Macaca fascicularis: one gene and its partners. The protein of the gene in region 1 interacts with the protein of each later gene in a biochemical or structural test. Links are inferred from orthologs where the notes say so. Each region holds a gene or a part of one and is shown on either strand. Other genes may lie near its edges. The genes, in order: MAPT, PPP2CB, PTPA, PRKACA, S100B, HTRA1 and CASP3.

What was found.
Region 2: of the proteins of MAPT (region 1) and PPP2CB, one has a biochemical effect on the other in vitro, tested with the Homo sapiens proteins (2 studies listed by BioGRID). The link is inferred for Macaca fascicularis from reciprocal best matches to the Homo sapiens genes MAPT and PPP2CB.
Region 3: of the proteins of MAPT (region 1) and PTPA, one has a biochemical effect on the other in vitro, tested with the Homo sapiens proteins (2 studies listed by BioGRID). The link is inferred for Macaca fascicularis from reciprocal best matches to the Homo sapiens genes MAPT and PTPA.
Region 4: of the proteins of MAPT (region 1) and PRKACA, one has a biochemical effect on the other in vitro, tested with the Homo sapiens proteins (9 studies listed by BioGRID). The link is inferred for Macaca fascicularis from reciprocal best matches to the Homo sapiens genes MAPT and PRKACA.
Region 5: the proteins of MAPT (region 1) and S100B form a complex in vitro, tested with the Homo sapiens proteins (2 studies listed by BioGRID). The link is inferred for Macaca fascicularis from reciprocal best matches to the Homo sapiens genes MAPT and S100B.
Region 6: of the proteins of MAPT (region 1) and HTRA1, one has a biochemical effect on the other in vitro, tested with the Homo sapiens proteins (2 studies listed by BioGRID and IntAct, with this or other methods). The link is inferred for Macaca fascicularis from reciprocal best matches to the Homo sapiens genes MAPT and HTRA1.
Region 7: of the proteins of MAPT (region 1) and CASP3, one has a biochemical effect on the other in vitro, tested with the Homo sapiens proteins (3 studies listed by BioGRID). The link is inferred for Macaca fascicularis from reciprocal best matches to the Homo sapiens genes MAPT and CASP3.

Annotation. Positions count from the first base shown.
Region 1 is NC_088390.1:67,473,578-67,477,807, reverse strand, and holds the start of MAPT (microtubule-associated protein tau), read right to left. Parts: upstream 2,801-4,230; 5' UTR 2,668-2,800; exon of another isoform or gene 2,227-2,667; intron 1,981-2,226; exon of another isoform or gene 1,725-1,980; intron 1,215-1,724; exon of another isoform or gene 1,090-1,214; intron 1-1,089. UniProt on the Homo sapiens protein: Promotes microtubule assembly and stability, and might be involved in the establishment and maintenance of neuronal polarity.
Region 2 is NC_088382.1:34,010,167-34,013,666, forward strand, and holds part of PPP2CB (serine/threonine-protein phosphatase 2A catalytic subunit beta isoform), read right to left. Parts: coding exon 3,363-3,500; intron 1,569-3,362; coding exon 1,395-1,568; intron 1-1,394.
Region 3 is NC_088389.1:14,830,858-14,835,058, forward strand, and holds the start of PTPA (serine/threonine-protein phosphatase 2A activator), read right to left. Parts: upstream 2,801-4,201; 5' UTR 2,536-2,800; coding exon 2,505-2,535; intron 1-2,504. UniProt on the Homo sapiens protein: PPIases accelerate the folding of proteins. It catalyzes the cis-trans isomerization of proline imidic peptide bonds in oligopeptides. Acts as a regulatory subunit for serine/threonine-protein phosphatase 2A (PP2A).
Region 4 is NC_088393.1:14,514,773-14,518,272, reverse strand, and holds part of PRKACA (cAMP-dependent protein kinase catalytic subunit alpha), read left to right. Parts: intron 1-1,460; coding exon 1,461-1,587; intron 1,588-1,676; coding exon 1,677-1,772; intron 1,773-1,865; coding exon 1,866-1,988; intron 1,989-3,500.
Region 5 is NC_088377.1:522,227-526,174, forward strand, and holds the start of S100B (protein S100-B), read left to right. Parts: upstream 1-1,148; 5' UTR 1,149-1,218; intron 1,219-3,769; exon of another isoform or gene 3,770-3,776; 5' UTR 3,777-3,777; coding exon 3,778-3,915; intron 3,916-3,948. UniProt on the Homo sapiens protein: Small zinc- and- and calcium-binding protein that is highly expressed in astrocytes and constitutes one of the most abundant soluble proteins in brain.
Region 6 is NC_088383.1:131,482,672-131,486,171, reverse strand, and holds part of HTRA1 (serine protease HTRA1), read right to left. Parts: intron 975-3,500; coding exon 875-974; intron 450-874; coding exon 245-449; intron 1-244. UniProt on the Homo sapiens protein: Serine protease with a variety of targets, including extracellular matrix proteins such as fibronectin. HTRA1-generated fibronectin fragments further induce synovial cells to up-regulate MMP1 and MMP3 production.
Region 7 is NC_088379.1:189,420,444-189,424,634, forward strand, and holds the start of CASP3 (caspase-3), read right to left. Parts: upstream 2,801-4,191; 5' UTR 2,733-2,800; intron 2,058-2,732; 5' UTR 1,890-2,057; intron 1-1,889. UniProt on the Homo sapiens protein: Thiol protease that acts as a major effector caspase involved in the execution phase of apoptosis. Following cleavage and activation by initiator caspases (CASP8, CASP9 and/or CASP10), mediates execution of apoptosis by catalyzing cleavage of many proteins.

The DNA of each region.
Region 1 (4,230 bases):
GCAGTGGCCCAACCAAAGCGCCAACACATTTCAAAATGGAGCGAAATCGCAGAAGCGCGGATTGTGCTTTGTTCCCAGCATTGGGCTAAATGCGCTCATCCCCACCGGGCTCCCTTTCCTCCAACGGCAGCAGGTGACATCTCTGCTCGAGATGGCAATAGGCAGCCTTGACCGTGGGCTCCCCTTTTCCAGGGCCGTCCCGAGACCCTCACTCCATCTGGAACCGGAATCCCGCGCCCAGCTCTGTCTGGGGGCGAGGGAGGAGAGAAGATGCTTGAACTGACCCCTGAGCCGCTCTGCAACCCCTCGCGGTGGCTCAGCCATGCGGGAAGCCTCGCAGCACTCAGGCTCCAGCCCTCGACGCCACCGTCGAGGAAGGTCAGCCTGGTCCCGGGCGGGCTCTAGTTCCCCAGTCAAGCCATTCCCCGGAAATTCAGATCAACCTGGGCAGCCCGCGTGGAGGATTCAGCTCCTAGATGCTCGTTCGTCTCAGAAGTGCGCCCCCCCGCACCAGTTTTCAGCGATAGAATTAACCAGAAAACGGCGCGTACCAGGTTCATCACAGGAGGGCGAGGCTCGGATGCCTTGGCCAGGAGTTCTCCTTGCAGCCCCAGACTCGGTTTTGGGGGTACGGTGAACTTGGATACGGGTGAAATCCCGCATTTACGATAAATAATATTAATCAGTACAGACATAATATTAATAAAAATACACCCAAGGGCTGCCTATCTGCGGCCGCCAGAGGCCAATTAGAGTCTCAGGTGCAGGGGTTGGGGGCTTCCTCCCGTGTCCTCCAGGAGGCCAACTGGGCGCGGCCCCGCCTACCCCAGGGTCCCCAATCTCCCCAGGGAAGGGGTGGGGCCAGCCCCAAGGTCCCCTCTCCGGACGCCTGTGGTTCCCATGGCAATTCCCCCTCTGTGCCCCCTCCAGTGGGCTCAGAAAAATGGGTGTGGCCGCAGCACCAGTAACCTTATGCCCCCTCCTCACATTCTCCCGCCAGGCGAAGCAACAGGGCGTAAAGCTGGAGAGGCCCCACCGGGGCTCCCCACCCATCCCCGAATGGGTAGCCAGCGTCCCTCGTTGGGCAACCTGGTGTGGCTTGGCCCTCAGGACACTCGGGGTGTTGGGAGGGGCGTGATCCCTCTGCCGCCGCCCGCAGCGCAGCACGGAGACTCGAATCCCATCCCTTCAGAAGCTTCCTGGCGCCCGCAGACTCCGAGACGAGGCTGCGCGCGGTCACGCCCGTTCCATGCGTGCCGGGGGTCGGGGGGTTGACTCGGGTTCGTCGACCCCAGCAAGCCTCGAGATCCAACAATGGGCTCGGAAATGAGGAACGAAAAAGGAAAGAGGTGCTTGGGGGTGGGGGGAGGTTGGCTAAACACCCTCAGAATAAAAGCCAGAAACCAGGGCTGGGAGCGCAGATCACGTAACCTCTACAGACAAAGCAAAGAGCCCCCGAAGAAGGTGCTGGGTGAACGCCCCCAGCGCTCACGCCCGCAGCAGCAAAACGCCAAGATTTCAGCGCTGATTGTCCCCCTCCCTTTAATGCCAGGCCCCGCCCTGTCCTACGAAGCCCGGCCACCCGGTTTGGCATGGCACCGTAAAGACGTGACACGCCGAAAAAAGATGGCACCTCGGGAGTGGGAGGAGGCACAGCCTATCCTCCCCCCTCCTCGCCCACCAGGATCCACACCCACTGCCGCAGTGAGGGGCGAGCCCTGCGCGCCAGCCCCGCGCCTCCGGCAGGGAGCGCACACGCCGGGCACCCTGCGCGCGGAGCGCTGAGAAAGAAACCCGCCCCGAGATGCACCTGCAGCCCCGCGCCCGTCAGTGCATGGCTGCTGCTGTGCCTGCCCGCGAGCGGGGACCGGCGGCCGCCGACTCCGTCCACATCGCCAGGCCAGGTGACCCCTGCCTTTGCGAGCGTGCACACTGGGATCCTCGCACTGTTCTCAGGCACGGCGCTGCTCGCGTCTCTGTGCCAGGCGTGCGCAGGGGGAAGGGCAACTAAAGTGACAGCGCCTGGACCCCTCCCCATCTCCTCGATTCCTCCCAGCCCCCAAATGTCCCCTACGGGTTTCTGAAGGAGGAAAAGGGGAGGGGGCCGGCCCCCGCCTAAAATCAGGGGCAGTGAAGGCCCTGTCGGAATCACTGCTCGGGAGGTAAAGGGAGGGGCGTGCAGGGAGTCAGTCATCTTTTCTAGAACCCGATCCACATCTTCCTTAGGGCTGATGGCGAACAGCGGCAGGGACAGCGGATTTCAGGTTCGGTTTCGGGGGTCGTTATCGGACCCCTCCCCCCCACGCACGCCCATTGCGGCAAAAGACTGCGGTCGAGAGTGAAGGGCAGCCCCCTCCCCCAAGTCACCGCCGCCGCGCCCCACCCTGCCGGCACGGCCTCCACCTGGGGTCGGCGCGAAGCGGGTGAAGACCCTCCAGCACACACACACGCGCGCACTCAGGCGTGCGTGCATCCCTTGCTCACGTCCCTTTCCAGGCCGCCCTGGCCCCAGCCCCCGAGCAGGGGAGGCAAGGAGGGGCCCTGCGGTCGCCCCGACCGATGCCCGGCGCACGAAGCCCCAGTCTGTGGAGGCTGAGGGCGAGGGGCGGCGGCGCAGGGGTGCACAGGGGCGGACGGCGAGGCAGATTTCGGAGCCGCGGCGCTTACCTGATAGTCGACAGAGGCGAGGACGGGAGAGGACAGCGGAGGAGGAGAAGGTGGCTGTGGTGGCGGCGGCAGAAGGTGGGCGGTGGCAGCGGCGCTGCTGTTGGTGCCGGAGCTGGTGGGTGGCGGTGACTGCGAGGGCGCGCGCCGGCGAAGAGGGCGCGTTCCCGAGGCCGGCAGGCGGCGCAGGCGCGAGCAGCGGGAGCGCGAGCCTCCCCAGGGGAGGGGGCGGGCAGCCCGGCCTCCGCGGGAGCCTTCTCCTCCGGCCACCAGTGGGCGCGCGCGAGCGCCCTGCCGCTCGGCTGTCCGGCGCCTCCCGGCTGGTTCCTCTCGGCGCTGCCCTTTCCCGGTGCCCCTCCCCCTACGCCTCAGGCCGCGGCGCTGACCGCAGCGCGCACGCGCGTTCCATGGCGCACGCGCACTCTCCGCCTCCCATAGCTGGAGCCTTTGTCTCGTTGGAGGGGTGGGTGTCTTCCTTCGGGCCCTGCGGGGTCGGGGCAAGGCCAGTGACTCCGCCAGTGGGTCCCCTGCCCCTTTCCTTTCAGTCAGCCTGAGGCGGTGTCCTCTCCTGGAGAGGTCCTGAGCGACCTTCCACGTGGCCAGCTCCCCAGTCCGCCCACCCCGACCCTCCGAGTCCCGAAATCGCCCCCCTGGCTAAGGTCGCTTTTCCCCAGGCTGCTTCCTTTCTCCTTGCTTTTTTCCCATCTTTTTTGTTACTGACCAAGGTGAATCCTTTCCTTAACAAATTCACTTAAAGCAAGCTAACTCAGTTACAATACAGTAGAACTGTACTTTAAAAAAAAGTATTTGGATCTATGATGTATGTAACCGTGACGCTAGAAAAGAAATCTTAAATTAGACCAAATTGAAATAGTGCTTAACACATCGCAGAACATTTGCACACACAGTTATTTGTATCACGTCTTTTGAAACATCTTTATGCTGTAAGTAGAGTTTGAAGTCTGAATGTTTAAGGGCCAGCTGGAGATTGTCCCCTGGAAGAGGCATCTCAGCCTGAAACTGACCAGTGGTCCTCATTCTACTGGTCACCCAGGCCCCAAGCTTCGGCCTTAGCTTGGATTTTTCATTTCCCCAACGTCAAATTTAAGCCCTGGCAGTGGGCGGATTTCTATGTATGGGGGTTTAGGGCAGCCGTCTCCTCCTAGGGAGATGGGAAGTTGTCTTGAAGCTCCAATTTGCATGGTTCTTACATTATTTTTTAAAAACCAACATATGTTATAGATTAATAGAAAAAGCAAGTAAAATGCTTTATTCACACTGAGTTTCTGGAACTGACCTTTTTCTTTCTTTCTTTTTTTTTTTATCCATATTAACTTTATTTTTAAACAGAGGGGCATATATCCAAAGAAGTAGGAGTGAGAACCACCGTGGGGGCTTGCTGAAAGCGATCTGCCCTAGCCTTCTGACTTCAGAATGTCTCATGAGCCAATGGCCTGGGGATGGAACTGCCCCTTGATGGTGTACACCTTAGAAAAGTCAATGGAATTGACCTTTTTTTGGAGACAAGGTCTTGCTCAGGCTGGAGTGCAGTGGCACAGTCATAGC
Region 2 (3,500 bases), on another chromosome or scaffold:
CTTTTAACAAGTCCAGGCAAAGTATTGTCCTTTCAAATTAATCATGGCAGTGTCCAAAATCACAGCTGAGAAAAAAAGACTGTCAGGATTACACAGAGAAAGTTATAACGAAATTATATTCCCACAAGCAGTCTAAGAGAGAATTCATCACATTCTTGACAACTCTGGGCTTTTATAATTTAAGAATTATGGAGTTTTATTATATGTTTTATATTTATATTTATTTTATTTTTTGAGATGGAGTCTCACTTTGTCACCCCAGCTGGAGTGCTGTGATACGATCTCGGTTCACTGCCACCTCTGTCTTTCTCAGGTTCAAGTGATTCTCCTGCCTCAGCCTCTCAAGTAGCTGGGACTACAGGCATGCACTACCATCCCTGGCTAATTTTTGTATTTTTAGTAGAGACGGGTTTCACCATTTGGCCAGGCTGGTCTTGAACTCCCAACCTCAGGTGATCTACCCACCTCGGCCTCCCAAAGTGCTGGGATTATAGGTATGAGCCACCTTGCCCAGCCTTTGTTTTATATTTAAATTTAAATCAGTTCATGCTTTCAGTGATTATCTCTAGAAATTGAAATAGGAAATTTGCATAATTTCTTCTTATACTTTTGAATGTTTCATGATCTGTCTGCACTGCAGAAATAGCATTTGCTTCTATTTTCTTTTTTTGTTCTTTGAGATGGAGTTTTGCTGCTGCCCAGGCTGGAGCACAGTGCTGTGATCACGGCTCACTGCAGCCTTAACTTCCTGGGCTCAAGAGATCCTCTCACCTCTAGCTTCTTGAGTAGCTAGAACCACAAGCATGCGCCACTATGCCTAGCTAATTTTAAAATTTTTTTTGTAGAGACAGGGTCTCATTATATTGCCCAGGCTGGTCTTGAACCCCTGAACTCAAGCGATCCTCTTGCCTTGGCATCCCAAAGTACTAGCCACTGTGCCCAGCCAAGCATTCACTTCTCAGGGAAGAAGGTGTAATACACAATATAACATTTGCAATTACCATGAAAATAGAAATGCGAAGTTATTCATGGTAACCAGCAAAAACTGTGTGTGTACGCAGAGACAGTTTTAAATAACATCTTGCTTTACTAGTACTACACATCAGTGTCTTAAGCATTTATTTATAATGTTTATCGATATCTTAAAAAGCACAGCATATTCTTTGGTCAAAAGATTTACATACATATCTGAGAACAGGAAAATTTGCTGGTCCAAATGTACGTGAAACTTATCCACTTCCCTGCTTTGAAATTTTAAGTATAAGGGAAGGAGGAAAAGGCCAAGGAGATGCAGAAACACAGGTCATATGAATCTAGACCCTAGCTTACCAATAGTCAATCTTTGCCTTCATTTACCTCCCCTCCTCCCAAGATGTGAGCACACACATACATACCTGTCCATCTACTAAAGCTGTAAGTGGAAGATAATCAAAGAGATCTGTAAAATATTTCCAAACGTTGGCATTCCCATACTTTCGCAGACATTCATCATAAAAGCCATATACTTGGGTAATTTGTCGGCTTTCGTGATTTCCTCTCAATATTGTAATGCGTTCTGGATAACGCACCTGGAAGAAATGGAGTAAAACCCATAGTAAAATCCCATTTTTACTAGTGTCATGTGAAGTACATTAGTCTCCGACCCATTGTTAAACACGGCGCTTTTGGCCACCAGTATATTAAATGTTAATTTCATTTTCGAAATAAAAAATCTTGCTTATTCATAACCAGGTATTACTGGTTAACATTTGACATGTTTATTATAATCATCCTTTTTCATCATGTTTTGACCACCCTCATCAGAACCTTTGACTAATACTTATATTACTATAATAGACTTGTATCTGATACTTTGTTTCTATTATCTTTTTCATCATCAAATTATTATTACTTTCCTAAATCTTTCTAGAACACTATGACTTCTTACTGTGAGTAGTGCAAATCACAGGTTTGAAGCTGAGATCAACTACTCTACAGATTAACTTCTTCCCTTTTCCATTTTTATTTCCCACAGGAAGATCGGATTTGCCAATAATAACACAAAAACAGGCCCTTGACAAAACTGGGCAAGAATTCAAATGTATTAATAGTTTCCTTTCTATTACAAAACAAAAACATAAGCGACTATTTAGTTAGCAATGTGTCTGATAAGAAATATGAAAAAGCATTGGATTCTGCAAATTACGCAAAAAGCTGCAAGAATCTACTTCAGTTCATACAGATTTTACTAAGCATCCGTTATGTGTCTAACGTAAGTTTGGTGCTAGAAAGCCAGATGCCAGGTCTACACAAGTACAGTCATGTGCTGGGCAACGTTTTTGTTAACAACAGATTACATGTATGATGTTGGCTGGAGCAAGAGACTATACCACATAGCCTTTGTGTGCAGTAGGCTATACCACCTAGGTTTGTGTAAGTTCCAAAGATGACAAAATCACCTAATGGCACATTTCTCAGAATGTATGCCTGTAGTTAAGTGACCCATGACTGTGTAATATATGGCTTCTGCTGCTGAGGGACTAACCTCAGTAAGGAGATATGTAAAGTAAGTAATACAAGGCAGTAAGCCACTTTTGCAGCATAAATAAGGGCTGGGAGAATAAGTTTCCTCATAGTAATTTAGAGTAGAAGGAATAAGGCTAAAATGGTTGAAGGTTACATGAAAGAAGTGAGACCTGAGCTGAGTCTTGGCAGAAAGGTAAGAAATCAGGGACAGAGTAACTCGTGGGGGAAATCGAATATGGAAATACACAGAGTCCAGAGCACTGATGAAGAAGAAACTTTGATTTGAGCCAGAGTTCATGCTACCAACTGCCGGCAGGCAAAAATTCAGACTAGACTATAAAAGGCCAGGCAAGGAGTTTGAGTTTGTTTCTATAGGCAACAGGCAATCAACAGGAAGTAACAATAAAAAATTGTTAAATAAAAGAGATTTCATTGGCCAGCATATGCCAGGTGGATTTGGGGGGGGATCAGATCTTGGAGGCAGAAATATTAGTTACCAAGCTATTGCAACAATCGAATTGTGAAGTGATAAACGGTGTGGTAAAAATAGAAAGAGACAGGAACAGACTTTTCAAAGCAAGGATTTAAAAAGACTTGTTTATTGAGTCAATATGACGGATAAGTGATAAAGTCAAGTATGATTCCAAGACTTCAGCTATTCAAGAGAATGATACATTTACAAGGAATATACAGAAGTTATCCTTTTCATCTCTCCTTTAAAAAGATGTAAAACCAATTATTATTTTAAGGGGCTATAAACTGAAAGACCATAAAACAGATGATATGCAATACTGTCATTCTGAGCTTTTTGCCTGGTTTAAGTCTTGGAAAAAAAAATTGAATTTCAGTAATCATACCTTTAATGCTACAAGAAGAGTCACAGTCTCCACTGAATAATATCCTCTGTCTACATAGTCACCCATGAATAAGTAGTTTGTATCTGGTGATTTTCCACCAATTCTAAAGAGTTCCATAAGATCATGAAATTGACCATG
Region 3 (4,201 bases), on another chromosome or scaffold:
GCCAGATATGTGTGACTCCAAAATCCAAAGTTTTCATCATTACACTGAGTTAAGAGGAACTTTCTTGGTCGGGCGCGGTGGCTCACGGCTGTAATCCCAGCACTCTGAGTGGCCGAGGCAGCGGATCACTTGAGGCCAGGAGTTTGAGACCAGCTTGGCCAACTTGGCGAAATCTCATCTCTATTAAAAATTCAAAAAATTAGCCCGGCATGGTGGTGGACGCCTCGGCAACTCGGGAGGCTGAGGCACGAGAATCGCATGAACTCAGGAGGCGGAGGTTGCAGTGAGCTGAGATTGCACCACTGCACCCCGGCCTAGGTGACAAAGCGAAACTCTGTGTCCAAAAAAAACAAAACAAAAAAGAAGAAGTTCTTTCCAGCTGTTCCCAAAAGTTGTTTCAAATTTCAAAAAAGGACCATGTTCAGGGACCTGGCTCTTTTCAGCCATGGATAACCTCCCTGAGCCTTCCTCTCTTTCAGGACACAGGTTCTCTCTCCTCCCACTCTCCACCCCCATTCATCCTAAGGGACACATTCATCTCACTGATAACAGTGGTTGCCTTATATCTCCTCTCTCCTGATATCATTACCAGAACTTTTTTTTTGGGAGATGGAGTCTTGCTCTGTCGCCCAGGCTGGGGTGCAGTGGCTGGAGTGCAGTGGCGCAATCTCAGCTCACTGCAACCTCCGCCTCCTGGGTTCAAGTGATTCTCCTGCCTCAGCCTCCCAAGTAGGTGGGATCACAGGCATATGCCACCACACCCGGCTAATTTTTGTGTTTTGAGTAGAGACAGGGTTTTGCCATGTTGGCCATGGCTGGTCTCAAACTCCTGACGTCAAGTGATCCGCCCGCCTCAGCCTCCCAAAGGGCTGGGATTACAGGTGTGAGCCACCCGGCCCAGAGTCATTACCAGAACTTCCAAGGCAAGCTTGTCCAACCCGCAGCCCAGGGCAGCTTTGAATGTAGCCGGACACAAATTTGTAAACTTTCTTAAAACATAGACCAGGTGTGGTGGTTCACACCTGTAACACCAGCACTTTGGAAGGCCAAGGCAGGCGGATCACGAGGTCAAGAGATCGAGACCGGCTAGGCGCGGTGGCTCATGCCTGTAATCCCAGCACTTTGGAAGGCCAAGGCAGGTGGATCACGAGGTCAGGAGTTCGAGACCAGCCTGGCCAATATGGTGAAATCCCGTCTCTAATAAAAATACAAAAATTAGCTGGGCATGGTGGCACGCTTGTAGTCCCAGCTACTCAGGAGGCTGAGGCAGGAGAATCGCTTGAACCCGGGAGGCGTTCACACCACTGCACTCCAGCTTGGAGGACAGAGTGAGACGCTGCCTCAAAAAAAAAAAAAGAAAAAAACCACAAAACCAGTATGAGACTTTTTTCTTTTTGTGACTTTTTTTTAGCTCATCAGCTCTTGTTAGTTACTGTTAGTGTATTTTATGTGTGGCCCAAGACAATTCTTCTTCCAATGTGGCTTAGATAAGACAAAAGACTGGACACCCCTGTTCTAAGGGCACACACACAGAGGTTTTGTACAAAATGTCTGGTTTCGAATGTCCTAAGAAACAGAACCCAGCTCTTTGTTCATCTCTTTTGTGGGGCATGGAGAGGATGCCTTTTTTGATTTTCAACATTTCTCCCTCCTGAGATCTTCCCAGGGACCACAAAATTGGAGACAGGATAGCAGGAATATCAAATGATTTCAAAACATTAGCTGTGTTTGGTGGGCCAACCTACTTGCCTCTCTGTCGGGAATGTAAAAGTTATCTATGGCCAGTCCAGCCTCCTCCTTCTCCATGAAAGGGGTCTCTAAGAAGATCCTTCCGTAGCACCTCCATCCCAGTTATTTGAGATGAACTAAAAAGAGGCTACAGTGTAAATAAGAGTTACCGAAGGGGATGCCAGAGAGAGACTAACCTCCTTGCACAACCAGCCTTTTAAAATTAGGGGTTTAGACACCACGGGCAGTTTCCCTCAATAAATTCTCAGTCACGGAAACCAGAGAGGAGGAGGATGAGGGGTGAGCAGGGCGCGGAAGCTGAAACTGGGGGCGAGGCAGGCGCGGCCCACTGAGCACCACCCCATCCCCTGAGCAGCGACTAATAAACACGGCAGCCTCCGGAATCACTTTCGCCCCCTTCCCTGGCAACTTCCCCACCAGGTTCACGGCTGACTTAGGCACGCGCTGCCCAAAGAGGCAAAAGGCCCCCCTTATGACCACGGTGCTGCCCACCCGGCATTCGGGTAGCCCAGACTCCCACAAAACCCAGAGCTGCGCCCCAATCACCACCCCTTTGCAGCCCCTGCTTCCCTCCCAGCGGTGCCCCATCACCCACCTCTCCCCTAAGGCCATTCAACTCAGTTTCTCCTCGGGGCCCCTCAGCTTTTGCCCCTCCAGCTCCTCCGTGTCCTGACTCTCGCCCTCCTGAGCCTCCCACACCTGGCGCCGCCCTCACCCTACCCGACCCCGGCCCGGCCTGGCCCCGCCGGCCTTACCTGGTGGCGGCTGCCGCTCGCCCTCAGCCATCTTGCTCCGGCCAGGAGCCGGCCCGGATGCCTGCAGTCCCCTCTCGCCTTTCACGCTTGCACCCACCCTTCCTCTCCCCGGCTCCACCAAAGGCTCCGGGTTTCCTGAAGACAAGTGAGCGCCGGCCGGCTATAACCGAAAACCGACAGTTAAAGTCACCCCAGGGACGACGGCCGCCATATCGGTGCGGGGCGCTCAGGGAGCATGCCCATTAACGGCCGGCGCGCGGCGGACGCGCGGACTCGGGCGACGGCCATGTCAGTGCGGGGCGCGCGGGGCGCATGCGCGCCAACGGCCCCCAAGCGCCAGGCCCGCTAACGGCTGCCGGAACGACGGGCGCCGCGGCTGCCATGATTGTGCGGGGCGTCAAGTTTGGGTTGTGGACAGCCATGTTTTTCCGGGGCAGTCTCCTGTCCCCGAGTACCACCTGTCATCTTTGTGGGTGGTAGTGACCCTAATCCAAGGAATATGAGAGGACATTCTCCGGACAACACGGTTGTGTTTTCCTACCACTCTAAGAGTTACGCTCAAGACGGAGTTGGAGAGGTGCACACCGCTACCTCCAACAGCTTAGAAGACACGCGGGGGCGGGGGAGAGACAGCTGGACGGTGACCTCCTCCTTCCTACTCCACAGATCTCAACGCCTTGCGGGGCCTCCCAACCAATGACTCGCCGTCGGCCCCGCCCCTCTGTCCCAGCACCCGCCGTGGCCCCGCCCCCAGCTCGCAGCCAGCCTACTGCGACCCGCTACCGGGAGACGCCCCGCCCCTCCTGCCCCTCCCCAAGGAGACCCCGCCCCATCGAGGCCCCGCCCCATCGAGGCCCCGCCCCCGCCCCGCAGCCAGCCTCCCGGGCTCCGTTGCAGGCTCGGGGCCCGCTACCGGCCCAGGCCCCGCCTCGCGAATCCTCCTCCCCGGTGCCTGCCCGGCCCGGAGGGTGGGCGCGGGGCCGCCTCTACCGGCTGGCGGCCGTAACTCGGCGACCTTGGCCCGAAGGCTCTAGCAAGGACCCACCAACCCCAGCCGCTGCAGCGGCGGCGCGGACTTTGCCCGGTGTGTGGGGCGGAGCGGACTGCGTGTCCGCGGACGGGCAGCGAAGATGTTAGCCTTCGCTGCCAGGACCGTGGTGAGTGCGGCGGAGCCAGGGACTGAGGGCCCTGGACGGCGTGGGTGGCCGTGCGGTTGCGCCCGGGAGCGGAGACCTCGTCCTGCGGCCGCTATCCGACCCGGCCTCCAGCTGATGGGGTGGGGTGGGGTGGGGTGGGGTGGGGCCAGGCGGGCGTCCCAGGTTTGGCAGAGCAGGAGATTCGGGCGCAGCGTCAGAAGTGGGATTGAACCCACGTCCTGGAGCATTCAATTCCAACGACCCGGGAAAGACAGGGGGCACCCGGCTTCAGTTAGCACCCCCACCCTTAGACCCAGAGACAGGCCGGTGGGGGAGAGAGACCAGGAGCGTCCAGACCCGCGCTCACTCTCCCAGTTATTCTCACACACCCGTCGCACGCTTAGGCCAGAGCCACTTCTCCGACCCTGTCCAGTTAGTTGGTCAGGCTCCTTTGGTTTATCGGATGGTCCCTGGGGAATTGTGTGTGGCCAGAGAAACACGCAGAGGCATCAAGCTAGGCTGCTCAGAAAGGCCTCAGAACTGGCAGGTGGCAGCCCCATG
Region 4 (3,500 bases), on another chromosome or scaffold:
CTTAAAAATTTGTCTTATTAACTTATAAGTTTACATATGTACTTTTATTTTATTTTTTGAGACGGAGTTTCAGTCTTGTCACCCAGACTGGAGTGCAGTGGCGTGATCTCGGCTCCGTGCAACCTTCACCTCCTGGATTCAAGTGATTCTTCTGTCTCAGCCTCCCAAGTAGCTGGGATTACAGGCGCACGCCCCCTTGCCTGGCTAATTTTTGTATTTTTAGTAGAGATGGGGTTTCACCATGTTGGCCAGGCTGGTCTCAATCTTCTGACCTTGGGTGATCTGTCCCCCTCGGCCTCTAAAGTGCTGGGATTACAGGCATGAGCCACCATGCTGGCCTTGTAGTTGTATTTTAGATAGAAAACTATAGATTCACTTTACATACAATAAAATGCACAGTTCTTCAATGCTCCATGCCACAAATTTTGACAGTTGTATACAGTTACCTAACCTCCACCTAAAACAGTATATGGAACTTTTCTATCACCCCAGAAAATTCCCTTGAATCCCTTTCTTCTTCTTTTTTTTTTTTTTTTTTTTCAATAATATACAGAGGTGGAGGCCGGGTGCAGTGGCTCACGCCTGTAATCCCAGCACTTTGGGAGGCCAAGGCGGGCGGATCACAAGGTCAGCAGTTCGAGACCAGCCTGACCAACATGGTGAAACCCTGTCTCTACTAAAAATATAAAAATTAGCCAGGTGTGGTGGTGCATGCCTGTAATCCCAGCTACTCAGGAGGCTGAGGCAAGAGAATCACTTGTTTCCAGGAGGCGAAGGTTGCAGTGAGCCAAGATTATGCTACTGCACTCCAGCCTGGGCAACAGAGCAAGACTCCATCTCAAAAAAAATACTGAAAAAAAAAATATATATATATACACACACACACACACATCTCTGCATACACACAGAGGTGAGATCTTGCCTATGTTACCCAGGCTGGTCTCGAACTCCTGGGCTCAAGTGATCCTCCCACCTCGACCCTCCAAAATGCTGGGATTACAGGGATGAGACACCGCGCCGGGCCAAATCCCTTTCTTGACACGTCACCTCCCCGCCAAAGGCAGTTGTCCTTTCTGACTTCAAACACCGTGCCTTTGTTTTGTCTGGGCGTGGACATGATATAAATGGAATCATTCATGTTCTTTTGTGTCTTCTTTTGCTTTAACATAATCAGTTTGAAATGCAGCCACGTTGTTGAGTGGATGCATGGGCTGTCCTGTTGGCAGTGGTGGTGGTGAGTGGAATTCCATTATATGACTATAGCTCAGTCTGTGATTCCATTCTCCTGTGGGTGGACCTACAGGCTATTTCCCATGTCGGGCTATCTAAGAATCAGGTGCCTCGCATTTCTGACAGCCGGACTGGAGTTGTCTTCCTCTGGGGAAGGCTCTGCAGGGCCACCTGCTGGACCATTTTGGGGCATGGCCACTGACATTCACCTCTCCATCTGTCCCCATCAGCGAGCCCCATGCCCGTTTCTACGCGGCCCAGATCGTCCTGACCTTCGAGTATCTGCACTCGCTGGATCTCATCTACAGGGACCTGAAGCCGGAGAATCTGCTCATTGACCAGCAGGGATACATTCAGGTGCCCACCAGGCCGGGCGAGGGGCAGCCCTGGGGAAGCCGTGGCCTGGACCCTCCCTTCCTGCCAACTGCCTGTTCTTGTGCCCACAGGTGACAGACTTCGGTTTCGCCAAGCGCGTGAAGGGCCGCACTTGGACCTTGTGCGGCACCCCTGAGTATCTGGCCCCTGAGATTATCCTGAGCAAAGTAGGCGCCTCCCCAGCCCTCCCCTTCCCCTGAGGCCGGCTCTGCTCTCCTGCTCGCCCCCTCCTCACCCTGTGCCCCCCCATCTTGCTCCAGGGCTACAACAAGGCTGTGGACTGGTGGGCCCTGGGGGTTCTTATCTATGAAATGGCTGCTGGCTACCCGCCCTTCTTCGCAGACCAGCCCATCCAGATCTATGAGAAGATCGTCTCTGGGAAGGTGAGGTCCGGCTGCGGGGACACAGCCCTGGAAGAAACAGACCCTCCCCTGCTCACTCATCCTACTCCCTGGGGAGCCCTGCTTGTTGTCAGAATAATCTAGAAGTTCCTTAAGTCAGGCCAGGTGGTGAAGCTGGACGCACCGGCCACACTGAGGCCAACACCTTGAGGCCCCCTCACTGTCCAGCCCCAACCCCGCGGTTCCAGAATCCCAAGAGCTTCCAAAACCCCAAGCCTCACAGAAACTTCTTGGCCGCAGAACACAAACCGCCCTGCCAGGCAACCCTCTTCGTCACTCCTTGTCCCAGTTAGTGTGAGTTTTCGCAAATTCCAAGGCAGAAAAACCAGTGTATTTGGTTCCTGTTCCCAGGTGCTGTCCGCAGCCTCACCAAGGAGTGCTCTCACTTAGCGTTTACAGCCCATGCTTCCTCTCCCAAACCCAGACTTGCCTAACTCTGAGGGTTCGGATGAGGGGTGCTGAAACCACCTCAGCTCACATCTGTGACAGGCGCAAAGTGCCTGCCATCCACCAGGCCCTAGAATCCCCCCATCAGTCACACCCTGAGATGGTGGCACCCTCTGCAGGAGAGGTGAGGAAACAGGCTGGGAAAAGGGATGTGTCTTGGCCAAGATCACACTTTGGTGAGTAGGTAATCATCGTAGGCACTAAGAGCAGGAGAGAGGTTGGGGACCCCACCTGTGCCCTCAGCTCAACCACCTTGCTGGGAAGACCCGACCATCCCCCGACTTGGTCCAGCATCTCCTACACAGGAGCTTTTGGTTGGCCCAGAGTCACGACACTGTGGTGGCAGCATCCTCAGGCTCAGCCTGGGCCCCAGTCCGGACCCCAGTCCCAGCTCTGCCACTGATTGGCTTTGAAACTTTGCATTTGGGTGCAATGGCTCACGCCTGTAATCCCAGCACCTTGGGAAGTGGAGGCTTGAGGCCAGCAGTTCCAGACCAGCCTGGGTAACATAGCCAGACCCCATCTCTTAAAAAAAAAAAAAAAAAAAAGCTAAAAATTAGCTGGGCGTGATGGTGCACCCCTGTATTCCCAGCTCATCAGGAAGCTGAGGCAGGAGGATCACTTGAGCCCAGAAGTTCAAGGCTGCAGTGAGCTGTGACTGTGCCACTGCAAACTAGCCTGGGTCACAGAGCCAGACACAGTCTTTTAAAAAAAATTCAGGCAAGTGGGGTACCCGGCTGGACACATAGCATCACTAAAAGGGAAAGATGAAGGCCTGGCACGATGGCTCATGCCTGTAATCCCAGCACTTCGGGAGGCTGAGGCAGGTGGATCACGAGGTCCGGAGTTCAAGACCAGCCTGGCCAACATAGTGAAACCCCATCTCTACTAAAAATACAAAAATTAGCTGGGCATGGTAGCAGGCACCTGTAATCCCAGCTACTTGGGAGGCTGAGGCCAAAGAATTGCTTCAACCCAGGAGACGGAGGTTGCAGTGAGCCAAGATCACACCATTGCACTCCAGCCTGGGCGACAGAACAAGACTCC
Region 5 (3,948 bases), on another chromosome or scaffold:
GTTCCTCACAGGAGCCTGGGGCAGGCTGACCCACGCAAGACCACAGCTCTCGGCCCTGTGCTATTTCCAGGGCACACTTATAGATCCTGAATGGTAAAGAACTTCCTAGATAAAGCAATGACAGCAAAACAGCCGTGTACGCAGATATCTCGTGGGAAACCCTTTCACGGCCACTTCGAAACTGGGTTGGGAGAAGGACCTGATGCTGGGTCAGGCATCGGTTGGGGACCATGGACACGTTTGTAGAGTTTGGGCCAATGCTTTTGTGTAATTTGTCAGAAGGAACACCTACTTCCTCACTCTTGTGAGGAAGAACCCACAAACTGGCCCCCGTGTTCAGAGGCTCAGGTCAACAAGTTGAGGGGACAGCTGGACTTCTCCTTCTTCAGGCTGGCTGGAGCCTTCAGCAAGGGGTACACCGTCCACACGCCTCTGTAAAACAGCATTCGCACAGGACATCTCTAAGGCATTGTCCAACTCTGACAGTCTGTGACCTTCTACCCTGGGATGGAGGGAAAGGCCTTGGGATACAATCCACACATCATGTTTTCCCCTAAAAGTACCACCCTTTTTAGTCCCTGCAGACACTGGGTTCAGCAGCTTCTCTGAGGCAGCCCCGTTGAGCCCAGGGCCGACCACAGACAAGCACTACCGTCCACAGAACCTCACGCCCGGTGGGGCCAGACGTGGAGGCTGGCAGAGGAGAGAAGCTCCAGGGGCCTCTCCATTAGAAACCAGCTTGCAGGCCACTTAATCTCCTACGCTCAGCCTGTACTTGCAAGCTGCTTGTTCTTGGCTGCACATTTGCTTTGTTTGAATCAATTAATCCAAGTCTCTCTCCTCTCCCTACCCCCAACCTTGCCTTTAGGGGAACATCAATATTCATGTAATAAATAAATCACACAAAAAGCTGACTCCCCACTTCCTGCCCTACAGGCCCTTTTTTCTTCCTCAGCCCATGTGCAATCCTGGCTCCCAGCAAGTCCCCGGGGCTGCTTGGTCAATGCAGCCCTGTGTGCAGGCCTGGCAGCCCTGCCACCCCCGCCCTCGGCCCCCATTGGCTGCCATGGCCTGCAGTGGGCTGCACCAGGGTTCATCCGTCCTCCCTGGGCAGACGGAATAAGAGGCTGCCTCTGCCCACTAGACCTGCCGCCCAGGACCCGCAGCAGACACGAGGCCCGCAGCAAGGAGACCAGGAAGGGGTGAGACAAGGAAGAGGTGAGAAAGAGCCAGGCCAAGAGGATGCTCAGGAAGAAATGGTTGTTTTCGTTTGGGTGGAAGGGAATGGAGGGGTAGAAACTAAATGGTAGCTTAAAAACCCCCTTTAGGACAATTGGCAGCACTTCAGAAGTGTCAATAGGATGATGTGTTTTAATCTCTACATTATTGCTTCTTTGTGGACACCTGACTGCATCAGCCCTAGGCAGCTAGAGGTATTTTTCATAAATCAGAGAAACCTCAGGTCTCGGCCCAGAAGTGATTGCTGACATTTTCCCAGTGGTGCTACAAATACTACCTCTCCTGTAACTACTTGAAGAGTAAAGATTTTGCTTCCCACTGCAGCTGGAAATGATGGAGAACCTAATGCTAGTTTAGTCCATATCCTAAATAAACCCCTTTTCTCCTTGTTACTTTTTCCACCGCCCTGGGTAAGTAACTCTTCAGTTTTCCAGTTTCCCTCAGTTTGAAGTGCCAGGGTGACAACAGCCCCAGGACGCCACTCAGAAATTACGTAACAGTTACAAATAAATTGAGTCAAAGAAATTGGGGTTTTGGTGGGTTTTAACTTTCTTCAGTCTCACAGTTTCTTAGGGAGGTTGAACCCCTAGAGGGATCCTCACACGCTAGGTAACGTGTCTTTCTAAGGAGTTAAAGTTCAAATGTTCTCTTGTTCTCAATATTAAAAGATTAATGTAGGACATTCACAGAATGTGAGAAAGAAACATATTTATTTCCATTTCTCTTAAAAGATAAACTATAAACCATCAACTATTTATTAAGTCAAAGGGAAAAATTTAACAAGAATTTTTTAATTGATTTGTAGCGTGGTTATGAAGAAAACCATATTTTCTAGTGGTTTCTATTAGTGTTCTAATATATGGAATACATGTTTTATGCCTTCCTTTGTAATAATCTCGTTAGTCATAGTTCATAGAAAAACAATTTAACCTCCTTTTCCCCAAATCATCATGGACTTTGAGGAGCATCAGAATGATGTAAAAGTGTCTTGTTTTGTTTTGTTCAAAAAAAATACACACACATATATCAATAATTGAAAACTTGAGTGCAAAGAATAAGAAAAGCATGAAATGTTAAAGATTTTAATCCATCTTAACTGTTCTATTTATGAATTACCAAATTTTTAGGGACTCAAGAGCAAAATAAAGTACACTGATTATTAATAGAATGCCTTTAGCAAAGATCTAGCCAGCACAAAAAAATCTTCAATCCTGTTTCCTTTGGAGCATCAGAAATAAATAAAATTTTTAACATCTAATTCCAAATTATTTTTAAGATGTAAGTCATATATTCAACATGGGAATGATTTTTCAACACTATTTATTAATTTATTTTTAATTATAACAGTGCAAATGTTCTTATTTGATGATTAGAACTCAAGGCCAAAAGCTGGTAAATTTCTCGGCCTGCCCATCTGTTTTGTGAGACAACTGACAAGGCATCCTTTGTAGAAGGCGCCTCATTCCCAGACTGATGAGATATTTCCTTGGTTTGCAGGCTGTGGCGTAAGGTACTTGCTGTGAGGGAGGTCGGAGGGATCTTACTTTGACAGCTGCAGAGAAACACCTATTCCTGCCCCGTCCCAGTCACTGCAGTGAATGAACCAGCCTTTCCCTGCACTGGAGGTAGAATGCAGGCTCAGCAGCTCAGCTTCCTGCCGGATTCTGTCCCTCCCTGCCACAGAACCACACGCATTTAATCAGTTAAACTTAGGATACATTTTTTTTCCTGGTAGATCAAATAACTTTCACTGTTATTCTTCAAAAAGATTGTGGCAATTCTACCATATTTATTTTTCCAGATGAATTTTACAGCTGTTTTTGTCATGTCACACATCCAAAAAAAATTCCATCATTTTTATTAAAAATGATTTAAATTTACATATGAATTTAAAGGAAAAACTTCCTACATTTTATGTTCCTCCGAATCTCTTGGAAGGACCTGCATTTTTCTTCCTAAACTTAGTCTTAGATCACATGCTATTTCTATATGAATAGAATATTTCGCACTGGATTTTCTATTTCTTTATTGATAGAATATAGGAATGCTCTTGATTTTTGTCTTATTTTGCTCCTAGTCACTGTCTCACTTTCAGATTGATTTTAACAGCTTGTAGTCGATGGTTTGCTCACCTGCACTCTACCACCTCATCTTGGAGCCTTACAAGAACAGAGAGGGACCGTGTGGGGAGGAAGCAGAAATTTAACCCGTGAATTCCTTTGCTGCTCTGCGTCTGTATTTTTGCTAAAGATTCCCTGTTGGACCAACCCAACCAGAAGCCAGAGGGCATGGGAATATATCCCTGTGGCCCACAGAGACAGAGAAGGCTCACATCTGTCTAAGAGGCAGGTGGAAGGATTGATAAAGGTACAAATTCCCAGAATGCCCCTCCAGGTCATGCCTGCTGTTCTGAGCTTGAAAAGAGTGCCAGGGCCAGTCCATCCCCCTTGTCTGGGTTGCGGTCTGTATTGATAACCTGTGAAATGTTTTATGATGAGGTATAGATGAGAAGGCATCTTTCCTTTGCGAGCCCCTAGGATGTCTGAGCTGGAGAAAGCCATGGTGGCCCTCATCGACGTTTTCCACCAATATTCTGGAAGGGAGGGAGACAAGCACAAGCTGAAGAAATCCGAACTGAAGGAGCTCATCAACAATGAGCTTTCCCATTTCTTAGAGGTGAGTCTTGCTTTTTACACTTGACACCTTCTC
Region 6 (3,500 bases), on another chromosome or scaffold:
TGATAAACATTTAAAACATTATTTTAAAAACTTTTATCTGGCTCCTTACAGAAGCTCTCCTGAGCCCCTGCCTCTCCCACACGCCCAGGCCATACTCAGCATCTCCTCAAGGCCCTCCTGTGACTGGTTTAGACTGGCTTCAGTGCCCCCTGAGAATCACCCGCAATCAGAGAGCTCTGGTGCCTTTGCCAAGGGTGTTCCAGGGCATCTGAGAACTCACCTCTGCAGGCGAAAACATACTCACCTGGTGGTCAATTTTGATCAGTGCAATGTCTGCTTTCTCATCCACATCCTTGATTTTGGCTTCATAGGTGGCACCATTCTTCAGCTCAACTTTGACCCGGTGCTTGTTGGTCACCACGTGGGCATTTGTCACGATCAGTCCATCTTCCGACACAATAAACCCAGACCCACTAGCCACCGGCACCTCTCGTTTAGAAAACGGAAGCCTAAAATCCAAAGAAGTACACACTTAAGCCTGCAACACCTTAAAATGAACGCTTCAACACATTGATTAATGAATGGGTTCTGCAACAGCAACACACACCTAGCAATCGCTTCTTTATATATTGGGCTTAACATTTAAAAACTAAACAATCTGCCAATTTTTTGCATGCATCAAACAATTTCACTTACAAAATATTCTTAGGGAATCTCTTCAGAGCCCGAGGTTCTTTAAACATTTAGAAGGGTTAAGACTGTAGATTCATAGAGTCGAATAGGGCAAATGTTTGAAGGGAGACACACTTATCTTAAAGTAGGAAGATATTCAGTGACACTTTGACACTTTAATGTGTCTCAAAAAGAGCTCTCATGTTTTGCTAGTGGCGGTGAAAGCTTCAGAGGTTATAGGAAAAAGGAAGGCTCTCTTTACTTGCGAAACAATTCAATATGAACCACGGCAGGGGCGATCTTCTCCACCACGTCCGCAATAAAGTTATATTTATGGCGCAAACTATTGGGATCTTCCTGCCCTGAGAACAAAAGCAAAGAATAGATACTTAATGATACTCTGCTGTGGTCACCTAGAGAAAGACATGGGTTAGAGGAAGCCAAAATGCATGCTCAGCCTTTGGAATTCTGAAGGCGGAGTGAGCACAGTTCCCCTGCCTGGGCTCAGCTGCAAATGTCCATCGAACTCCCAAGGGAATGCCCACCCAAGTAAGGCAGTAAAATCCACTCATGATAACCTCTTTGCTCAGGTTCTCTGCTCTCAACAGAGTCACCAAAAAATCACCTCTGCTCTGGTGTCGAGCAGAGGCACCAGCAAATGCTTCTACCTCACACCAGCCTTTCCAAGAAGCTGATGGCCCAAGTATTTTTTGTTGTTGTTTGTTTGTGTTTTTGTTTGTTTGTTTGTTTTCTTTTTGAGATGGAGTCACGCTCTGTTGCCCAGGCTGGAGCGCAATGGTGCAATCTTAGCTCACTGCAACCTCCACCTCCCGGGTTCAAGCGATTCTTCTGCCTCAGCCTACTGAGTAGCTGGGATTACAGGCACCCACCACCATGCCTGACTAATTTTTGTATTTTTAGTAGAGACAGAGTTTCACCATGTTGGCCAGGCTGGTCTCGAACTCCTGACCTCAGGTGATCCACCTGCCTCAGCCTCTCAAAGTGCTAGGATTATAGGCATGAGCCACCGCACCCAGCCAAGGGTCCCTTTGTGATGTGGTATCACCCTCTGCCTGCGTCCCTTCCCTGAGTCCCCACCATTACAAAGAAGCAACCCTCCTGAGAAACACCGCAGGAGCGAAGGAGCACCGGGGCTTTTCTCTAGGAGAGGCTCACCAGATGGGTAGATCTGAGATTATTACGAAGAAACATGAAGGCAAAGGGGCAGCTCCTATCTTTCCCACTGACACCCCAAGGCAAGCTGAGGCCATCGTCCGTCCCCAAAGCAGTTTCCACCATGCCTTAACCACATGTTCCAACCCTGCCCGGGACATCCCAGACAAAAGGCATAAGAGGTGCCTTAAGACTGTGGGTGAGAAAAAGAGGAAAATCAAACGACCATAATGCTTTATACCTACAGTCATGCACCACATAACATTTCAGCCAACCGTGGACCATAATGCCATTGTTTTTACTGTACCTTTTCTATGTTTGGATACGCAAATACTCACCATTGTTACAACCGCCTACAGTATTCAGTACAGTAACCTACTGTACAGGCATGCAGCCTAGAAACAACAGGCTCTACCATCTGGCCTAGGTGTGTGGTGGGCTATGGCATCTAGGTTTGATAGGCGCACTCTGTAACATTCCCACAGTGATGAAATCGCCTAACGATGCATTTCTCAGAACATATCCCTGTCACTCAGTGGTGCATGACCGTTTATACTACAGTGAGTGGCCCCACGTGGTGGGCGTTTCCAAAGCCACTTTCAACAAAGCTGTCACATGTCCCGATGTGAGGCTCTCACCCAGGAGGGCTAAAAGTTAGTTTCTGTCGACCAGAGGTGCACACCCAAGGTAACTGATTCAGAAACAGGCTGCTAGAGATTCAGGGTTCTGGGCTCCCATTTTGGTGGCACGGGTGGTGGCAGAGGCAGTGTGTCCCTGGAAGTGCACCCTTAGCCTACTACTCCAGCTCCTAATCTCTGCCACCTGCTGCTACCTCTTAACAAGTCTGCTCAAGCAGGCTGGAGGGCTTCCAGGCTGGTCTGCAGCTAAGAGCCATGCACCCCATTCTTCCCCCTTGGAATAGCTCAATGCTGCACAAGCAGGCTCCAGGGACCCGCACTCTTTTGTTAGCTGCTCGCTACGAATTGACAGGAAGCTTTTGGAAACTTTCAGAGCAATTTCACATGGTAATCTTATGTCTGTTGCGTTGAAAAATGAATAACTGTGGCTTGTATTTCCTGTCTCATATTTTGTATTTTGTAGGTATTTTGTGTCTCATTTACCAACAGGCCTGTGTGCCTGCCCCTAACACACATGCATATACACACAGAGATGCACAGGCACACACACACAAACTCACACATACACACTATGCATACACACCCACACACGTACACACATAAACACACCCACACACATACACCCACACTCATACACAGACTGTCACATAAACACCTATACACACTTCCACACAATTCATATACTCACAGATGTGCACATACACACAGAGTCACACATATATACATACAAATGCACACACACACACACACACACTCACATACATGCCTCTCTTACCACTAAGGTGGCAGCCCTTCCCCAGGCTCTAGGCTGTAAGTAGAAGCTATGAGACGTCCCAGCCCTCTTGTGACCCATCACAGTTTCATACCCACTGGCTCCCACATCCCTACCACGCTGGGTCACAAGGGGCCATAGTAACCCAACTTGACACCATGGGGCACAGGGACATCTGGAGGACCACCTGCCTCTCCCACGCTTGCTTTCTCGGAAGTAAAAGCGCATCTGTGAACAAAGGGCCCCCTTCTGTCCTGGCCCCTGACCTCTGAGCTGCTTTATTTAAAGATTGGAATCATCTCTTT
Region 7 (4,191 bases), on another chromosome or scaffold:
TTTGGAGGGACAAAAGGAGAAAACGGGAAAGCCTTCACAGATCTAAATGATTTATATAAGTGTAAAATGGAGGATCTTGAATGCTTTTTTATAAAAATTACAGATAACATTAAAGGCTCACCACTCCCACCAAGAATGACTACTTTGCAGAATCAGATTCAGGTTTAAAACCGCTTGAAGAAACCCTACTGTCTGGAAGACTGAAACTGCCAAAAGTCAGATTCAGTAGCATCTATTCATTTGATATTTGCACCATAACAATTTACTGAACACCAACTGTGTGCAGAGTACTATACTAGACCCTGAGTGTATCAAGCAGTGGACGAGACAAACCCTATCTCTATGCAGGGCTTATACCGATGCTCACTGGCATTCAAAAGTGGCTCAACAAAGCAGATGCCAGACGGTGTCCAATACATATCAGGTAACTTGATTGCATTATTGTAATGCAAAGAAGCCCTACAGGCAACATGTGACGGTAAGAACAAAACATGCAGAGAAAGAACATTATATAAATCTAAGAATTCTCACATCTTTTTTTAGGCCCAAATACCAGTGCTTCCTATCTTTGGGGCAGAGCTTAAACATCTAATAGTAGGCACCAGAAGCAATGTAATATATCATTCATGAAAATAAAGACTGCTTTGTAGGGGGATGAAGCAGTAGGAGATTGTGTTAAATGAGGTCTGAAAGCAAAACAGTGAAGAAGCATTATAACTGCCTATATCAGATGCCAGTCTCTTCAAAAGGCAAGAGTCAAGGCCTTTATTCAGGATAGCAAAAGCAAACCTGATTTAACTAGGTACAATGTCTAATGTCTCTTACTCTGAACAGGTTTTATTGCCATACTCCAATAAACTGTTCGTGCATTCACTAAAATATATTTTCACTTTCAAAAACCTTCTTTTACAAAAAGGCAAAGCAAAACCAAAGCCCAAGCATCGGGCTGTGATAGAGATGATTTAAGCTTTACATTTCACTTTTAGAGATGATGTAACCACAGCACGCACACTCACAGTGGCTGAGCCCATTTTGATACAGTCTAGTCTAACCACCTTTCCTGGCCCTCTTTCTGCTATCTTGCAGGTTTACATGGTTTCAGTGACTCCATGTCACCTCTACCATTTCTTTTCTAACTATTATTTGCTAAATAATCCTAAACCAGGTCTACTTTTTCTAGATAGGGCATAAAAGTAAAAACACAACGGATGGGCATTCACTGCGTTGTGCCAGGGCCCGCATTTGGTGAAAGACTCTAAGGACACCAAGATAAACCAAGTCCATCCCTCCTGGAGTTTGCTTGCAAATCTAGCAGGGAAGACAGTAAACAAGCAACTGCAGAGGATATGACACATCTCTCTTAGGGAACGCTGGCTGCAGAAAGAACACAGTAGAGGAAGATTGAACCTTGAACTGTTTTAATGAAAACAGAAGTTTAAGTAGCAGCTCTTACTTCTAATCAAATGTGATGGCGGGAGAAGGGGAATGCAGAGGTGTGGCAGACACTAGCTATGAAGGTCAGCATTGCTGTGCAGAAAGTGAATCGGTGCTAAAGATAGGGAGGGGTGGGGGCACTCAGGACCCAACACGTACTGGGGTTTGTCAGCCGTATTAAGTGCTGGGTTTAACCTAAGGGCAAAGGACGCGCTTTCTAGACTTTCATTTCATAAAGATCCCTCTGTGCTGTGAAAAGTGGACTACAAAGGAGCAGGCGGGTCTGGAGGTGGAGAGACCAGGGAAGAGGCTGCTGTGGAGATGGAGAGACGTGGACAGACCTGGCAGACGTTTACAAGGTCGACAAGGCTTGGTGACTAAGCGGGAAAAGAAGTAGGTGGGCGAGAGGGGGGCGAGAAGGATGTTTTCCGGTTTCCTGCTTGGGTGCCACTTACTGAGAATGGGGGAAAGACGCAGGTGCAGAGCACACCCACTGAAAACAACAGCGCCGAGCGCGAGCAGGGCTCGCTCACTCCTCACGGCCTGGGATTTCAAGGCGACGCCAATCAGCTGTGGCCACGGAGACACAGCCACAGGGATGAGCTGTGAGCACTCACGAAACTCTGCAGGGCCGAAAAGGAATTGGATTTTAAACCCTGCAACTAGCTCTCTGGAAGAGCTAAACCACACAGTCAACCCGGGATAGTCCAGGCCCCAGGCATGGAAGGCAGCAGAGACGGAAGCCTCGCCCAAAATTGGAAGGATCAGCCCCGAGGGCGAGTCCCTCACAGTCAGCACCCGGCCGCCCCAGCCCTCGCCGCACCGCTTCCCGGGGCCACTCCTCCGCCGGCGGTAGCACCGTCTGCTTTCCAGCTTGCCGCTGCCTCCCGCTGCCTGGCCCGGCCTCCTGGCCCCAGGCCCGGCCGCCAGGTCTCTGGCCCTCGGAGTTCGGTGCCCCGTGCCCGACCTCCCGGCCCCGGCCTCGGTTCCCCCGGGCCGGCCTCCCGCTGCCTGGCCTCCCCGGCCCCAGGCAAGCCTCCCGCCCCCGGGTCAGGTCTCCCTTCCGATGACCTGAGGCCTTTCCTTAGGTTACTCCCAGGTCCCTCTCCCTAAATCAAAAGCCTTAACCCGCTGCCTGGCTGCCCCGGCCCCGGCCCCGGGCTTCACTGCTCGCTGCCGCCCCGGGTGAGGTGGCAAAACAAAGGCTCCGCCGCCCAGGTCCCCGGGCGGGCGCTGGGCCTGGGAGGACGCAGGGAGCGGGGACAGGGCTGACCGCCCGGAGCGAGCGCGGCACTCACCGCACAGCCTTCTCACACCTTCCACAACCGCCTCACAGCAGCAGCCACCCGTTACGATCCGCGTCTGCACCGCTTCAGCAGCCCGCCGCCTGGGGACGTGCTCCAGCGCTAGCCCCGCCCCCGGCCCGCCCCTGTCGGCCCCGCGCGCCCCCTCCCTGGGGCCCGTCCCCCAGCTCCCGCCCGCCCGAGAACCCAGGGCCGGGCTGGGCCCCAGGAGCCGCCAGCCCGCTGCAGCCCGCGCCCGCGCCCGCGCCCGCGCCCGCGCCCGCGCCCGCGCCCGCGCCCGCGCCCGCGCCCGCGCCCGCGCCCGCGCCCGCGCCCGCGCCCGCGCCCGCGCCCGCGCCCGGGTCCCCGCCCCCCGAGGCCCCGCCCCCGAGGCCCGCCCCCGAGGCCCGCCCCCGAGGCCCGCCCCCGAGGCCCGGCCCCGCTCCCCCGCCCCGGATTTGAAAGCTGGGTCTTCCTGAGAGTCCGCGGGCTTCCGCTCCCAGCGCGGGATTCTGGAGGTAATTTGAGGAAGAGTTGGAAACCGCGCCAGGCCCAACGGGGACCTAGAAGGGAGACAAGGCCAGGCCTGCTGCCCAGTGTGAGCTCTGAGAAGAAGAGGAGCGGGCCGGGACGCCCTCCGGTAATTTCCGTCCCCCCTCCGGTGACCTGAGGCCTTTCTTGGGGTTACCCCCAGGTCCCTCTCCCTAAATCAAAAGCCTTAGCCTCCTGTCGCCAGGGTGCCGGGCTAGTAATAAGCAGGTCCACGCATGCTGGACACACGGGCTCAAGCCACTCCGCGCATCAGTCAGTACTACAAACCGTACGCAGTAGTGTACTTAATCCATATATAAACGTTACATGTTAAGCATCCCACAGCAAACAAAGTAGCATTTAACATCCCGAGGAAAAAAAGAGAGAGGACAAAGAGATGAACAACCAATCCAGAGGAAGTGAAGAAGAGAAGAAGAAGCCTGGTTTGGGCCCGAGAGGTCCTTCTGCAGAGACAGCGTCAATTAAGACTGTTTGGAGCTGCCGAAGGCAGAGTCCGGGTGAGAACTGACAGTGGAAGAGGGCGCTTGTTTGTGTCCTTACCTGAGTGGATGCGGACTAGTTTTTTACTTGTTTATTAAAGTATAGTATCCTTGTTGGCAAATGCCCTATGAAATATAAAATGGGGTCTTTTCCTAAGATGGAGTTATTAATAGTTACGTGAAGGGTGTGCTATACACTGCCGTACTGATCCCCTTCCTATTTTGGGTCATGAACTCATTTTAGACCCTGAAGCAAACTGTGAATCGTTTTCGCAGAAGAATTCTCCAACACGTGAGCACGACATTCTGCATCAGATTTCAAAAGGTTCTTGACATTCAGAAGTCAGATCAGGGACCCCATGGCAGAGCCTATTTCTAACGCTTGCGCCTATTCGACTATAGGGACTATATTCTGCACAGAAATATACTTAGTTTTATGTATC